Pelodiscus sinensis: one gene and its partner. The protein of the gene in region 2 purifies or fractionates together with the protein of the main gene of each other region. This does not show direct contact. Links are inferred from orthologs where the notes say so. Each region holds a gene or a part of one and is shown on either strand. Other genes may lie near its edges.

What was found. Proteins that work in one complex are often made in the same cells at the same time.
Region 1: the proteins of DYRK1A (region 2) and TROAP purify together in Homo sapiens (affinity purification with mass spectrometry; 6 studies listed by BioGRID and IntAct, with this or other methods). This does not show direct contact. The link is inferred for Pelodiscus sinensis from reciprocal best matches to the Homo sapiens genes DYRK1A and TROAP.

What each region holds. Positions count from the first base shown.
Region 1 is NC_134729.1:4,785,592-4,792,862, forward strand, and holds the start of TROAP (tastin), read right to left. Parts: upstream 3,046-7,271; 5' UTR 2,924-3,045; intron 1,811-2,923; 5' UTR 1,760-1,810; coding exon 1,529-1,759; intron 1-1,528. Other genes in the region: PRPH (peripherin), read right to left, coding at 5,827-5,874, 6,315-6,394, 6,747-6,796, 6,959-7,179. UniProt on the Homo sapiens protein: Could be involved with bystin and trophinin in a cell adhesion molecule complex that mediates an initial attachment of the blastocyst to uterine epithelial cells at the time of the embryo implantation.
Region 2 is NC_134711.1:186,526,559-186,534,091, forward strand, and holds the start of DYRK1A (dual specificity tyrosine-phosphorylation-regulated kinase 1A), read left to right. Parts: upstream 1-4,481; 5' UTR 4,482-5,031; intron 5,032-5,089; exon of another isoform or gene 5,090-5,358; intron 5,359-7,533. UniProt on the Homo sapiens protein: Dual-specificity kinase which possesses both serine/threonine and tyrosine kinase activities. Exhibits a substrate preference for proline at position P+1 and arginine at position P-3.

The sequences.
Region 1 (7,271 bases), on a different chromosome or scaffold from region 2:
AGCAAGCCATGTACACCCCATCCCCCCAGGCACGTCCCCTACATGGCTCTACCCACCCAAGTGGTGCCTCCCACATGCGCAGAGGAGCTGCTGGAGCCTTTCACTGCCCGGCAGCCACCAGCTTGGATGTGGTGGCCCGTTCTTGGCAGTGTGGCGAGCCGGCCTGGGCTTTACCTGCTGCCACAAGCATAAGTAGGAAGAGGCACATCCCTATGGGGAAGGGGGAAACTGAGGCACTTAGAAAGGAAGCAACTTGCCTGACATCACAGAGTCACTGAGGTGGGAATGGAACCCAGGAGGCCGGATTCCCAGTGCCTGCCCTGAACACCACGCTCTCTGTCCTAAAGCCAAGTACAGACCCCAGGGGTTTGCCTCCCTCCCTCCTCTCCACACAACACCCTGTTCATTTCAACACAGATTGTAGACCCATCTCTCTGACACTCGGAGCACTCCACCAGACCATCCATAGCCCTGAGGCTGTCAGGGCAACAGGGAAAAAATCACTCAAAGCTGCAGCACAACAAATGTGGGCTATTTTGTGCCATGGAGCCCAGCACCCCAGCAAGAGGGAGAAGAGGAGGGGCTTGGAACACCCTGAAAGCTGATTGGTCTCATCTCTGCCAGAGGATCACAGCCAAAACACAATGATCCAAAGAGGGGACATCACAAAGAACACAGGACCAGCCAGACTCAGGTGCACCAGTTGGATTCTCTGCTAACAAGTGCCCCAAGGGGCATTTTAAGCTCTGATCAACAGCTAATGTGCTGGACAGTTAACACTTCACTCTGCCCTTCCCTGGCACCAGAGTTTGGTCTGCCCCAGTTAAGAGGGGGTCTGTGACTCAGTGGTGGTAAGGAGGCACCAGAACCCGGTTTGGGAAGCCAGCATGTTGCAAGAGAGAAGAGGGTACCAGCTCCCACCCCCAAGCAGGATAAGTGTGCCTGAAGCCTAGATCCTCATTTGCCAGCCTGGCGGAGAGGCCCCTGCGGTATCTCAACCACGCCCTAAGTCTGTGTCTACACTGGCACCTTTTTCCGGAAATGCTTAAAACGGAACAGTTTTCCATTATAAGTATTTCCGGAAAAAGAGCGTCTACATTGGCAGGATGCTTTTCCGGAAAAGCCCTTTTTCCGGAAAAGCATCCGTGGCCAATGTAGACGCGCTTTTCTGGAAAAAAGCCCCGATCGTCATTTTCGCGATTGGGGCTTTTTTGCGGAAAAGACTACTGTGCTGTCTACCGGAAAAAGGACTTTTGCCCGAGCGGGAGCAGCATAGTTTTTCCGGAAAAGCAGCTGATTTCTTACAGTAAATCGTCACTGCTTTTCTGGAAATTCAAGGGGCCAGTATAGACAGCTCGCAGCTTATTCCGGAAAAGCGGCTGCTTTTCCGGAATAAGTGTCCCAGTGTAGACACAGCCTAGGTGTTTTCCCTTGATGCTATCCCCCAAGCATAGGGAGAGCCAACAACTTATGCTCTGCGGCTGGTCTACGGTAGGGCTCCAAACCTTCCCCCTCACCCGCCATTCACCTTCTGGCTCTCCCAGGTCTGGTGCAGTTGCTGGAAGTCTGGGGGCAGGCGGCTTTTGGCTAGGACAGGGATCTTGCTGCAGCTCTGTGCACCTGACCCATCCCAGGCAGATGGTTCATTCTCCTTCCCTGGCTGTGGTCCGCTCCTGGCGGGGGAACAGCTGCCTGTCCACTTGCCCCGTGGTGGGCGGGCAAAGGAAACCGCTTCTGGACCCTTCCCAATCTGCGCCATTTCTGACAGCTGCACCACTCAGCACTGCAGCACCTTTCCTGGCATTTGCACCTGGAGAAAGAGATGCTCCCAGGAGATGAACGGCCTTGCAATGCAACCAGAGTGCATCACCACCTCCCCACCAGGCCAGAGGAGACCCCTTCGCAGGTTCTTCAAGTCAGGCCCCGTGGCTAGAGCTAGGCTGGCAGCAATAACCAGCGCGGAGTCCCTCCGGAGCTGGCTGGGGGACTGGCTACAGCCCAAAGCAAGGAGCCTGCATTTAACACTGCAGCACAGAGCCCGGATCGCTGGGCCAGCCAGGGAGCGACAGTAGTGAAGGTTCGGCATCAGTCCCTGGCTCTCTCCCTGGCATTTAACGCCACAGCCCCTAGGGGAGACTCCCCCACTCCCCAAGGAGCAAGGCCAACAAGGTCCTGGAGTCTGCACCCCCTCGCGATCTCCGCCGCCCCCCAGCCCGCTCTGTACTGCCCATGACTGCCCACAGCCTTTTCAGCACCCCCCCCCTCCACTGGGCCCCAGGGACCCACCTGATGAGCCACAGCCTGGAGACACACCCAACCCCAGGGCTGTCAGGGAGCTCAGCAGCACCCCGCCCCACAGGGGCCCCCCAACCCCTACAGACTCACCAACACCCACACATCCTCCCCGGGGTGCGTGCCCCACCATCCCCCCAAAATCCTAGCCCATCACCCATAGGAGCACCCCCCCCCGGAGCCTCCCCTACACCCACACATCCTCCCCGGGGTGCGCACCCCATCAAGCCCCCCCCAAATCCTAGCCCATCACCCATAGGAGCACCCCCCCGGGGTCCCCCCCTACACCCACACACCCTCCCCGGGGTGCGCACCCCATCAAGCCCCCCCCAAATCCTAGCCCATCACCCATAGGAGCACCCCCCCGGGGTCCCCCCCTACACCCACACATCCTCCCCGGGGTGCGTGCCCCACCATCCCCCCAAAATCCTAGCCCATCACCCATAGGAGCACCCCCCGGGGCCCCCCCTACACCCACACACCCTCCCCGGGGTGCGCACCCCATCAAGCCCCCCCAAAATCCTAGCCCATCACCCATAGGAGCACCCCCTCTGCGCCCCCCGGCCCCCCCCAGCCAGGGACCCCTCGGATACCCTCGCGCTCCCCCATTCATAAGCTCGCCCGCCCCCACCTGGGCTCAGTCGCATCCGCTCCGCTCGGGGCCGGGTAAAGCCGCTCTGCGGGTCGCCGCCGGTTTGTAAAACACCAAGGGAGCTGATTGGCCACCTTCCTCCAGCTGGAGGCGGAGTCGGCGGAGAGAGAGCCAATCGGGAGCAAGGGAGGCGGGGCCCGGGCGACAGCCGGAGCTGCGGGGACGGATTGGTCGGCGCTGTCCAAAGCCGCTGCCTGTCATCGCCCGTGTTGCCCTATCAGGCGCGGGGGAGGCGGGGCGCACTCGCCCAGCTGAAGTTGATGTCTCGCGAGATCTGAGCTGAAGGGAGTTATGGGGGGGGGGGGTGAGGCTAGACCATAGAGACGTGCATGGGTAGAGCGGTGGGCTCATGGGCTGGGGGGGGGGAGGGGGGAGTCCTCCGAGGGTGGGGGGGCTGAAGACAGGAGCTAAGCTGGGGAAATTCAGCCCCTCCCCTGAGGGCCCTGGATCATGCCCCCCCCTCACCAGCTGGAGTCAGCCACAGGTGCCCCCCCCTGCGAGGGCTCCCCCTAGGGTACCACGTCAGACAGCAGCCACGTGCCACGGTGCCACGTCAGACAGCAGCCACGTGCCACGGTGCCACGTCATGCCGTGGTCCAAGGTCTTGCCACCCAGGCATCACTTTACTCAGCCCCACGGCGCTGCTGTGTCCACAACTCCCTGTGTTCCCGCCTCCCTGGGCTGCAGGGTTACAGCTCCACCCGCCTGGACGCCTTCCTCCCCGGAAGTGGGGAGCTGGCCCAGGACGAGAGCAGAGCGGAAGGGGCAAACAGGCACTCGTGCGCATGTAGGCAGCAGTTTGGGGGGCCTAGTCTGAAGCCAACCTCTTCCCACCCTTACAGGCACAGCCTGGACAAGCTCCCCCTCACCCATTACCCCCAGCACCTTTTCGAAGGGACAAGCAGGGCGGCTGGCCGCCTCCCAGTGGGAGGTTTGCTAGGTCCAAGCAGAGTGAGGTTAATTTGGATAGCCCCCCTTGTCCACTAAGGCTAAGAGCCGACAGCTCAGCCCTCTGGTTGGCACTGCCAATGAGGGTCGAATTTGAGGTCTCTTCCCCTGCCCTCCCACCACACTCAGCCACTGGAAGGTGGAGATCTCAGACGGTGGGATAAGGAGGCATAGATGAGAAGCAGACACGCACATTCCTCGCTATGACCTTTAGTGGCTGGAAAAGCAGGACAGGACACATTCAACACCATGGCCGAGCACTGGGCCAGTGTCACCATTCAGGCAGATCAGGGAAGACCCAGGAGCACCAAAGCAACTATGCTCACAGCCTCCCGTGTGTCTTGGTCCAGCAGGGTGAGAGATCCTATCGCAGCCCCCTGGTTAACGAAGGCAGAGCTAAGGCAAGGAAAGTGGGTCTGAAAGTCAGAGGCACTGCGTGGAGGGAAGGCGGCCAGAGGACAGAAATGTGGGAATGATAGTGGAGCACAGTCTTTTAGGACTTGCCTGCTTAGAAGCAGGGCTGAGTATCAGCAGCCAGTATGGGGCTCAGGACTCTCCCCTGAGCTGGGATAGCAGCAGGAAACATCATTCCACACATCTGTTCCAGCAGTGGAGCCAGGGTTGAAAGGCCCCAGAAGAAACTCTTTCCCTCTCAGGCCCTGACAACTAAGCATGTGTCCAAAAATCAAAGCAACACAAGTGCTAATGGACAGGCGGGGATCCCTATCAAAATGAGAATGGAGACTCAGCACCACAGCAGGCCTCCTTAGGGAGAGACACTCCAGGACAGGACTGGGCTGTCACTATTAGACTAGTACCCTGGGCACAAGGGCCTTCACCCTCAGCAACTGGGCCTAGGTATTACTCACCCCCTTCATCCCCAGGCTCACTCAGCCCTGTTGTCTAGAGCTGATGGCAGCTCTAGGCAATGCCAGAACAGGATATGCTGCAGCATCCAGGAGAATTAACACTAGAGACAGCAGCACTGGGACTAGGAACAGCTTCCCCATCTGCCAGGCATACTGGGATTGTACCCAGGGAGCAGGAATCCAGGCTGCAAGTGCCAGGGGTAGGAATCCAGCCCTGCTGAGCAGTCCCTGCAATTCGTTTCTTCTGTACTAAAACAGAGCTTTGGGAATCAGGGGGCCCGGCTGTGTTTGGGCTGGAGACCAGCCAACACAGAATTGCAGTCAGATCTTGGTATCACCACTCCAACAGGCATCTCTGCTACTAGGAGCACTGCTGGGCAGCAGCCCGAGGCACAGCTGCCAGGGGCCAGCATCCTGCTTTGGTAGTGGAACGAGGACAACTCCTCTGTGGAGTCCAATTCAGGAGCAGACTCCTCTTTGGTACCAAACTCAGGCAGCCTCTGCCTTGGGGCTGGAAACATGATGGGACGGAGGAGGACCGGTTCTGCGGAATGCTCACAGCAGTTGCTCTAGGGACGTGGGAGTGGTCTTGGGATCTGTATAGGCAGCGCATGGCCTAGGCTGTAGCTGGAGGGGGTGTAGGATCCTACTCTGTTTAACCACAGCCCTGTGGCTCAGTACACGTAGTCTGGGAAGGTCAGTCACGCCCAACGGTAGAGCAGGGAAGGAAAAACCAGCCCAGAGCCAAAAGCACAGGATGGGGGAGAGATCGGGGAAACAGCATGCAGTGAGAGGGCAGAGGGATGGGGAGAGCTGGAGGCAGGGCCCCTCTCCTCCTTGCCCTGGGCTGTGAGTGGGTATTGCTGTGCTCTCGGTGCTCTGGGCACACCACGAGGGTAGGCGGGCTGGAGGCACGGGGCAGTGCAGCAGAGCTGTCAGAGGTATCTGTAGTAATAAGGCCAGTGTGGCTGGGGGGAGGGCAGGTGCAGCAGGGGTCTCGCAGTGGCTTCTACAAGTCAGTTTCACACTGTCGCCTCGGTCCAGGGCAGCGGCCCAGCACCAGGATCACTTCTCCACATCAGTGCTCTGCTCCGTACTTGACTCAGTCACTACCTAGCGGGGCGGGGGGCAGGATGGAACAGAGAGCCCACGGTTAGATCCCATTCAGCCCATGCCTGGCTACATTCCCTGCCATGGAGGATCTTGGAGGCCTGCCCACAAGCCCCTGAGCCTGCTGCCCAGCACAGAGGGGCAGGGGTAGGAGCAGAACCCCGCTCTAGCCACTAACCCATGTTCCCCCATAGCTTTGTACGGAACCCAGGAGTCCTGCCTCCCAGCGCCAACTGCTAGACATCACTTTCTCTGCATGCTCCTGTAATGCTGGGTCTGAATGACAGCTGGACGCCCCGGGAACCTTCACAGGCCTAGGCATGCCCTGAGCTTCTCCCCCAAGCCCCCGCTACCCTAGGCTTGGCACACTCCAGGCTGACTACTCCCTGTTCTTCTCTTCTCCTCACCCCCATGTCCCAAGGGGGGGCAGGGAGGAAACTCACCTCTCCATCCCGGGTCTCAATGGTTTTGATCAGAACGGTTTTCCTGGTGTGGCTCTCCACAGTCTGCTCCGGCTCAGGTGCTAGCAGGGGGTACAGGAAGGCCATGAGAAGGGAAGTGGCTGCAGCCACTGAACCCCCAATCCCCAGGTGAGGCCTCCATGCCCTGGGGTGGGTGTGCCCCAGGACAATAGACTCTGGTCACAGCAGGGGTCCCCCAGGGAAGATCCCCCAATGGGCTGTACTGCTGGCCATATGGATCTGCCGCAACCCGTCAGTTCCCAGGCCAACCCCACACAATGGCAGAGGCCAGCAACTCCCCAGGTACCTAGGGAGAGATGTGGGGAGCCCACGACAACTGACCGGGGAGGGGTGAGACTCCTGGGGAAGGTACCCACAGGGGGATCCCCCCCTCCATATCTGGCACGCACTTACCTGAAGTTTTCACACTGTAGGAGGCCAGCGAGTGGATGGGGATCGAGATCCTAGGGAGGGTCAAAAAGTACAGTGAGTGGTAGGACCCTGCTTATCCTCCACTCCCCAGCCCTCCCCGGGGGGATGGGAGGGGGGGCGGGAGGGGGGGCGGGAACAGCCCCACCCTCTCGCAACAGATGCTGGGAGAGCTGTGCCCCCAGCGCTGCACCCACCGGCTCTCCTCGCCCTCCAGCAGCTTGCGGTACGTGGCAATCTCGATGTCCAGCGCCATCTTGACATTGAGCAGGTCCTGGTACTCGCGCAGGTGCCGCGCCATCTCCTCCTTCATGTGCCGGATCTCCTGCTCCAGCCGCCCCACCGTGTCCTGGTAGCTGCCGAGCTCCACCCCATACTGGTCCTCCAGCTCCCGCATCTGGCGCAGCAGCGCCTCGTTCTGGCCACAGCAGGGAGGGCAGGTGTCAGACTGGCTCCAAAGGGGGCTGGTCTCTCCCTGCTCCCCCTACCACCCATGCTGGTCCAGCTGCT
Region 2 (7,533 bases):
CTCCCATTGGCCAGCAACTGCAGTAATAGGAACGGTGGGGGCAGCCACTGCAGGCAACATGCAGGCCTGTGGACAGAGGCCATTCCTGCACACTCCCCCCGCAGGAGCTTTCAGGACCAGCATGGAGCCAGGGAGCCTGTCTTAGTTTCACTATGCCACTGACTGGGAGCCACCTGAGGTAAGTGCTACCTGGCTGGAGTCCCCACATCCTGAGCCCCCTTCCAGAGCCCAGACCCCCTCCTGCACCAGACCCACTGCCCAAGACTAGAGCCCTCCCATCCTCTGAACCACACCCCCTCCTGTACCCTAACCACTTGCCCCAGCCCACTGAAAGTGAAGGAAGAGTGAGGTAGGGGAAATGGAGTGAGCAGGCAGGGCCTCTGAAGGGGCATACTGGGGCAAGGAGTCTGAGTTTGTGCCATTAGATCAGTTTCTCCCAACCAGGGTTCTGCGGAACTCTGAGGTTCCGCAGACCATGGTCAGGGGTTCCACGAGAAATCATGGTATAAATAAATACAAATTTTGAAATACTGTGAACAATTCCAAATATCCCTCGAAATATCGCAGGAATTTTTGTCCGGCAATTGGCAATACTAGAGTAATCTTCGTAGGCTACCAACTGCCTCTTTGTTTTGGTCAGTTTGTATCTAAGGTTATATTTAGTTGTATTGTGCCTGCCCTTCCACTTACCAGAATTCTCTGCATTTAGCAGTAATGAATTGCACTCCCCACTGTCAACTATTTTTGACCACACAAACGTTTTCCTAGGTAGGGGTTCCTCGGGATATGAAAAATTATTTTAGGGGTTCCTCCATAGGAAAAAGGATGAGAATCACTGCATTAGATAGTTGTCAACCTAAATGGATTCCACCAATTTCTCCCTTACACTCATCCACTCATATGCTGGGATAGAAACTCGAATCAGATGTTACAACAGGGGCTAAACCTAGGACCCCACAGCATAGAATAGTATGTAGGAACTATGTTGTGCAGAAAAATGCCTCAGTGAGATAGATGCCAGCTCCTTCCCACTGCAGGAAAAGAAAGAGAGGAGCAGGTGCAGTCTCTGGAGGACATTATTCATCATTCTTGCACTGCAGGTTTTGGGTAGTCAGAGTCTAAAACTGATGGGGAACCTTTTTGAGTCGGGGCCACTGACCCACAGAAAAATCAGTTGGGGGGTTGCACAAAAGGAAGAAGCAAACAAAAACAAAACAAACAAAAACCTCACAGTTCACTGTGGTAGCCTCCAACTGAGAAGCAGACTCTTCCCACAATCCCCTTGTACATCAGAGCCTGGGGGTTTAAGCTAGTAGATTTTGTGGGGCCCCCAAACTCTGAGGTGAGGCTAAAAATGAGAGGTTCAGTGTGTTTGAGAGGGCTGCCTGGAAGCATGCATTGGATGTGGGGTCTGGTAGGGTGGTGAGGCTGGGCAGGAAGTAAGATGCAGAAGTGGAGTGAGGGTACAGGATCTGGGTGGGAGTGGGGGTACAGGAGCAGGCTGGAGATTGGTAGTGGAGAGTCTGGATGGGAGGGGGTTCAGAAGCAGGGTGGAAGTGGAGGGTCTGGGAAGGAGGGGGTGCAGGAGCGGGCTGGGGGTAAAAGATCTGGACAAGAGGGGGGTCCAGAAGCAGGAGTGAGTGCGGGGTTTGAGCGATGGGGGGCACTTAACTGGCACAGCTCCCCAGGAATGCACAGGGTTCGGTGTCCCCTGCTGCTCCTATTGGCTGTGAGTATAGCCAATCAGAGTAGTGGGAGAAAATTCTCCAGGCAGCAGGGAGAATGGAAATGGCAGCATGTGGAGTCATTTCTTTCCCTCCCCCAGGCAGAGCCCCTGAGTTGAATCTGGCCTTCCCTTGCCTAACTCTGTCCCCCAAGGCTCCGGGCTCCCAGCTGCTGGGGGTGGAGTCCTGGGGATCAGTTCCCCACTCATTGTCTAAAAGTGACCCTGCTTCACCCCTGGGGCCATCGGTTCCCCACCCATTGTCTAAAATGCAGGTGGGTAATAAGCAGCCTGCGGACCAGACACAGTTTCCTGGCAGGCAGGGACACTTTATTTACCTGCACATCCACTGGAATGGCTGCTTGCAGCTCTCTGTGGCTGTGAATTGCTCTCTCAGCTACTGGGAGCTGTGGGAAACTGTCCTGGCATGCATCGCTTCCAGCATCTCCCATTGGTCAGGAATAGTGATCCATGGCCAACAGGAGCTGTGACCCACTGTACCTGTAGATGTGCAGCTAAACAAAGTGTCTGGTAGTCTGCCAAGAACTAACCCTGGCAAACTGCATCCAGTCCATGGGCTGTTTATTGCCCAATGTGGTCTAAAAACAAGGATAAATACCCTACACAAGGGCTGCAGGCATAGGCAGAAATTTTGGTGATGTCCAGAATGCCAGAGCCTGCACTCTAATGGCACTCACGCTCTTCCTCCTCCAACTGTTTAAGGCTCTGAGAGGGAATTTGGGTGCTATGTGCAGGCTCTGGGTCGGCACAGGAGATACAGGCTCTGGGATGGAGTTTGGGTACAGGAAAGGTGAGGCGCTGGAGGGATTTGGGGTGCAGGAAATCTGGGGGTACAGGCTTTGGGAGGGAGTGTGAGAGTTGAGGCACAGGGAGAGCATTTGGGGGCTGAAAGAGGAATCCAGGGGCAGGACAAGCCCCTATAAAGTACTGTCTAAGGCTGCAGGAATTCTATTCTCCTAACCAAACTTGCTGATTAGGACGGGGGTCTCAAACTCACAGCACTGGGAGCCATCTGCACCTGAGCAGTTCCACAATCTGGCCCATGCACAGTTGCTGGCATGTGATTCTCTGTGGCCCTTAGATGGTGGTCATACCCTTCCCGCAAATCCAGTCCCTGCTCTGCCCTCTCCCCTCCATTGCACCCCTTACCTCAAGCCTCTTCCCCTGAGCTATGTGGCCTTGGGGATTACCAGAGGGCCTAATGCAGGGAGGAAGATGGGGTCCCCTGCACTCACTGCAGTGACAGGAGCTTTAAGAAAGCGAAGCAATGCAGAAACTGCTCTGCTCCACTGCCATCTCCCAGGTCAGCCCTGTCACTCTGCTTCACCTTAGCAGCAGAAAGTGGAGTGCCCCAATACGGGACTGGCCTGGGAGATGGGGGTAGACCAAAACAGGCTGCTGCTCAGTTCCACTCCCCACAGGTCCTATTGCTGTGGTGAATGTAGGGACAGCCTGCCCAAGTCCCCACAAGCTAACCTGAGTACCTTTGCACATACCTCCCCAAGGCCACAGAGACATACCTGCAGTGGCCCAGAGCTAACATCTGGAAGCCATTCTAGTCCCGCTGCCTTACCTGTGGTGGCAGCTGGGGATGGGGCTTAAATCAGCAAGGGGACAGTCAGAGCTAGGGGATTCATAGGAGGGGGAAGGAGTGTGCAGGGCAGCAGGTGAGGCAGGGGGAGAACATGTGCCGACCTCTCCCCCTGCAGCTCTGCCAGACTGAAGTGCCCACTAGGAAGATATGAGGACTGGCACTGGCCCTAATATAAACTGAGTTTGAAAGCCCTGGGTTATGGTCTCTGCAGCAGCCAGAAAGCTGAGAGTAGCAAATTTGCATCTGCTACCTCTTCCTTCTCCTCTCCATTTAGGGCCTCCTCCCTAGTGACTAACTGCTGCAGGGCTGCCTTCTGCTATTGCTCATCGCTTCGTCCCGCTGTAGGTTTCTTTCTTTATAGCAGCCACCGTCCATACCGAAGTTTAACTTAGCAGCTGAGGTACTGGCTCAGCTGCCCGCGGAGCCGGGCAGGCAGCGCTGCCCCCGGCTTAATCCTGCGGGAAAGCGCCGAAAGGGGGGTTTCTCCACAACTGCACGCTAGAAACTTCTTTGCCTGCTGCGGGAGGAATGGGTGAGTGCGGCGGCGGCTGCCTGCAGGCGCTCATGCGCCAGATCCCGCTGGCTCAGGCCCAGGGGCGGGGGCAGCAGAGGCGGAGGCGTCTCCCGCCGCTGTGCGCAGGATGCAGCGGCTCCGAGCCCTGCCCAGGCAGGCGCGGGGCGCGCGCGCGCGCTCCCCCTGTGTCCGCAAGGTCCCGCGCCAGGGACAAGCCGGGCTGCGGCGGCACCTCCGAGTTCGGAACGTCACACGCCGGTGGCAGCGGGGAGAGAGAGAGAGAGAGAGAGAGAGAGAGAGAGAGGCACCAGTTGCCACGGCAACCAAGCCCCGCCTTCGCCCATTTCTCCCCCTCCTCACGTCAGCGCGGCCTCCCGCCGTGATTGACAGTTACCATAGTAACAGGCTTGTCCCGTCGCCATTTTGTCAGTTGGGTTTTTTTTTTTTCAAATAATTTTCCCTTCCCGCTCGAATTATAATTTTACCCAGGAAACCGTCCTCGCGGGTTTTAGGGGCTCCGTCCCTTGGCGGCGGCAGAGAGGGGACGGGGGGAGGGGGCGGCGGCGCGGGCGGGCGCGGCAAGGAGCGGTCCGGAGAACAGCCCTGGAGAAGCCGGCTCGGAAGGGGGGAGGGGGAGGAGCAGGGGGGGCGGGGAGGGAGGGGAGAGCGGGCGGGCAAGTGAGCGAGGAGTTCCCGGGGGCTCGGTTCGGCGCTGCGCTCCCCCCGCCCGTCCGCCAGCTCCCTCGCTCGCGCCGCTGTCTGCGAGCTGCCTGGCCGGGGCTCGGGCCGCCGCCGCCACCGCCGCGTCCGGGCCCGGCTGCCGCCGGTGGCTGCGCAGGTTTGGAACGCGCGCCATTTTGTGAGCGATAGAAAATCTGCCCGGCCAGGAAGCGCCGCGGATCCGCCCGCCGGGCCGGGCCCCCCCCCCGACTCCCCGCGAGAGGGAGGCGCGTTGCAGGCTCCCTCCGGGGCCGGGGCCCCGCGCCACAACCGGGGCCCGAGGGCGGCGGGACTGGCGGAGCGGACGCGCTGCGGTGCTGGGACTCTTGGCCGAGGCGGGGGAAGCGCCGGGCTCAGCCGCTGCCGCCTCCCCGCAGCTCGCGAGAGGAGGCCTCTGCCGGGACCGGCCCCCGACGGCAGCCGGGCAGGAGAGCAGAGGCCGCCGCCGCCCCCACACGGGTAAGTGCCCTGGCGCCGGCTCCGCTAATGCCGGCCCCTCGACGCGGGGACAGCCCCGCTGCCATCTTAGAGCAAGGGGCCGGGGAGTCCCCGCCCCAGCTTGCCGGGCCGGGCCCGCTGCACCCGCGCCGCCCTGGGGAGGCTGGGTCTGGCCGGGCGGCCGCAACACCTTTTTCTCCCTGGCATGAAGGTGTTGGGCTCTGCGGCCCCCGCTGCCCGGCCAGGGCTGCTCTTGTCGTTCTGGTCCCGGGGGCTGGGAGAGCGGGGCGATGATCCCGGCTGCGGAGTGGGAAGGGGATGGCAGGACTCTCCGGCTGTGACCTTATGGTAGGTGAGATGGGTCGGGCTCTTCCGCAGCCCCCTAGGCCGGGAACGAGTCAGAAGTTGAACAGAGCAGGCACCTGTTGTGGTGGTGGGCTGAAGTGCCCCGTCTGCACTCGGGTTCGCGATTTCTGTGTCAGGTGTGGAAGTTGGAGGTGGGGATGGTGGGAATACTTGTCACGTTACTGTCATTTTGGAAAACCCACAGAGTGCACGTCTTCTAGTCGTTAGCTAGCTGCAGTGTTTGGCTGTGTTGCTAAAGAAGCTAGAAAACATACATCATGCATTTGAGATAATAAACGTTTTTGCTGTAAAGCAGCTCTTTTGCTAACAAAGTCCAAAACTGCAACTAAAGTACTGTAACTAGACATTCCAATAATGATGTGTTTCTGACTCTCTCAGCTGTGTAGTTTCTAGTTTAGTCTTTCCAAGGACTGTGTAAGGATTCTTTGATCAAGAATCTTGAATGCTGGTGCTGCTTAGCTTTCATTATTCTCCAGTCATCAGGAAAAAATCAAACGGAGGTGTTTTTAGCTAATAAATAGAGAGAACTTGTTAAAAATCGACAAGGATAAAATATATGACTTATTTGCATCCCAGAGATAACGTGCAGATAAAATGGTATGTGTTTCCAAACACTTGCAAGTATTACAGTCACTTTTAAATGGACAGTGCTCAAGGTTCTGTACAAATAGAAATTAACTATTTTTATCATTATATTGCTATCAGGTTGTTTTTTTTAACTTATTCCAAATGAAGCTTCCTTAAGAATCCGGAAGTATTCTGATAAATCCTCATTTTTGGTAACTGCAGAATACTGTTGAAATAATTATACTCTTTTGGGTCTGATGTGTTAGTAACTACATTCCAGTATTTGAATGTTAAATGTTACTAGTCTGATTACTGGTTTTCATGTGTTCAGCGAATTTATTAAATATATAAATTGTTCTGTAGATTGGTTTTGGTGTCATCAGCTCATATGAAGAGGTACCTGCAACAAGGGTGTTTTCTATATTTGAGGTTTAATGTAATTGATATAAAGTGTGCATAAGTTTTATTTTTTCTTTCTATTACTTTTTTTGGCATTTATCGTAAGTGTCTAACTTAACAGTGCTTCATACCTGTATCTTGAAGTTAATGTGCAAAGTGAATGCATCTGGTTTAGAAGTTGAATGAAAGAGAGCAATTAGTTTTATAGCTTTACAAAAGGAACAGTTTCTTATTTCTAGATACTGTACAAGTGTTTGCTAAATAAAAAGTACTTTGATATCGTTTCCAGGCTAACAAAAATATGGTAGGACACAATTTATGTCAGTAACTTTATTATATTTACTGAAATAAGATTTGTGTAGGTTTTGAACTTATCTTGTTTTTTAGTGGCCAATTTGAGTAAAGAAGAGTGAGTGAGGATGGTTTTAGTAAGTAGTAGAGGCAAGGAGATTTCTCTGATACTTGTGCTTCAAAAAAGTCCAACGACATGCCAATAGTATTCACACTATGTGTAAGGTGATAGTGATGTGGTCTGTTAAGCATCTGTCTTTTTTTTGAAAGTTTTGGGCTCTGTGTAGATGTTAGCACATGTTAGGTAATGGTCTGGACAAGATGCACTAACTTGACAAGTTTAGCCTGTATTATAAAGCAATTTAACTTGTCTAGACTAGACTTTTTAAAATGGTATGTGTTTTCTAACATGGTAGTACCCCATCTTTAAATCTTAGTCTAGAAAAGGGTTTAAAGAGAAACTTTTAACTGAATTGAAACATTTAGACTGTCTCAACAGGTGAAAGAGTTGTGAGGTCAATTATGGTAACTCGAATGAGCAAAAACAAAAAGGTAGGATATGTATATAGTGTGGTGCTTTTTGCTACAAGAATGTCTGTTTGAGAGCTTTCCTATTGAAAACTTTCCTAATTTTGTGGTGTGGGGTTTTTGTTGTGTGTGGTTGTAAATCTATGAGAAAGTAAGTAAACAAGTAGTTCTGATAAGGGGAATATGTTCTTTTTCACTGGTTATTGGAAGGAGAGAGGAATTATCTCTAGTATATATTGTGCTGATCTTTTAATAACAATTTCTGACCTGATCTGTAAACTCCTCAGAAACAACTAAGCATGCCATGCAGAGAGAATATAAGTGCAATATTTCCCAAGGTAGTGAGGGGGATAGATCATCCCCATAAAAACT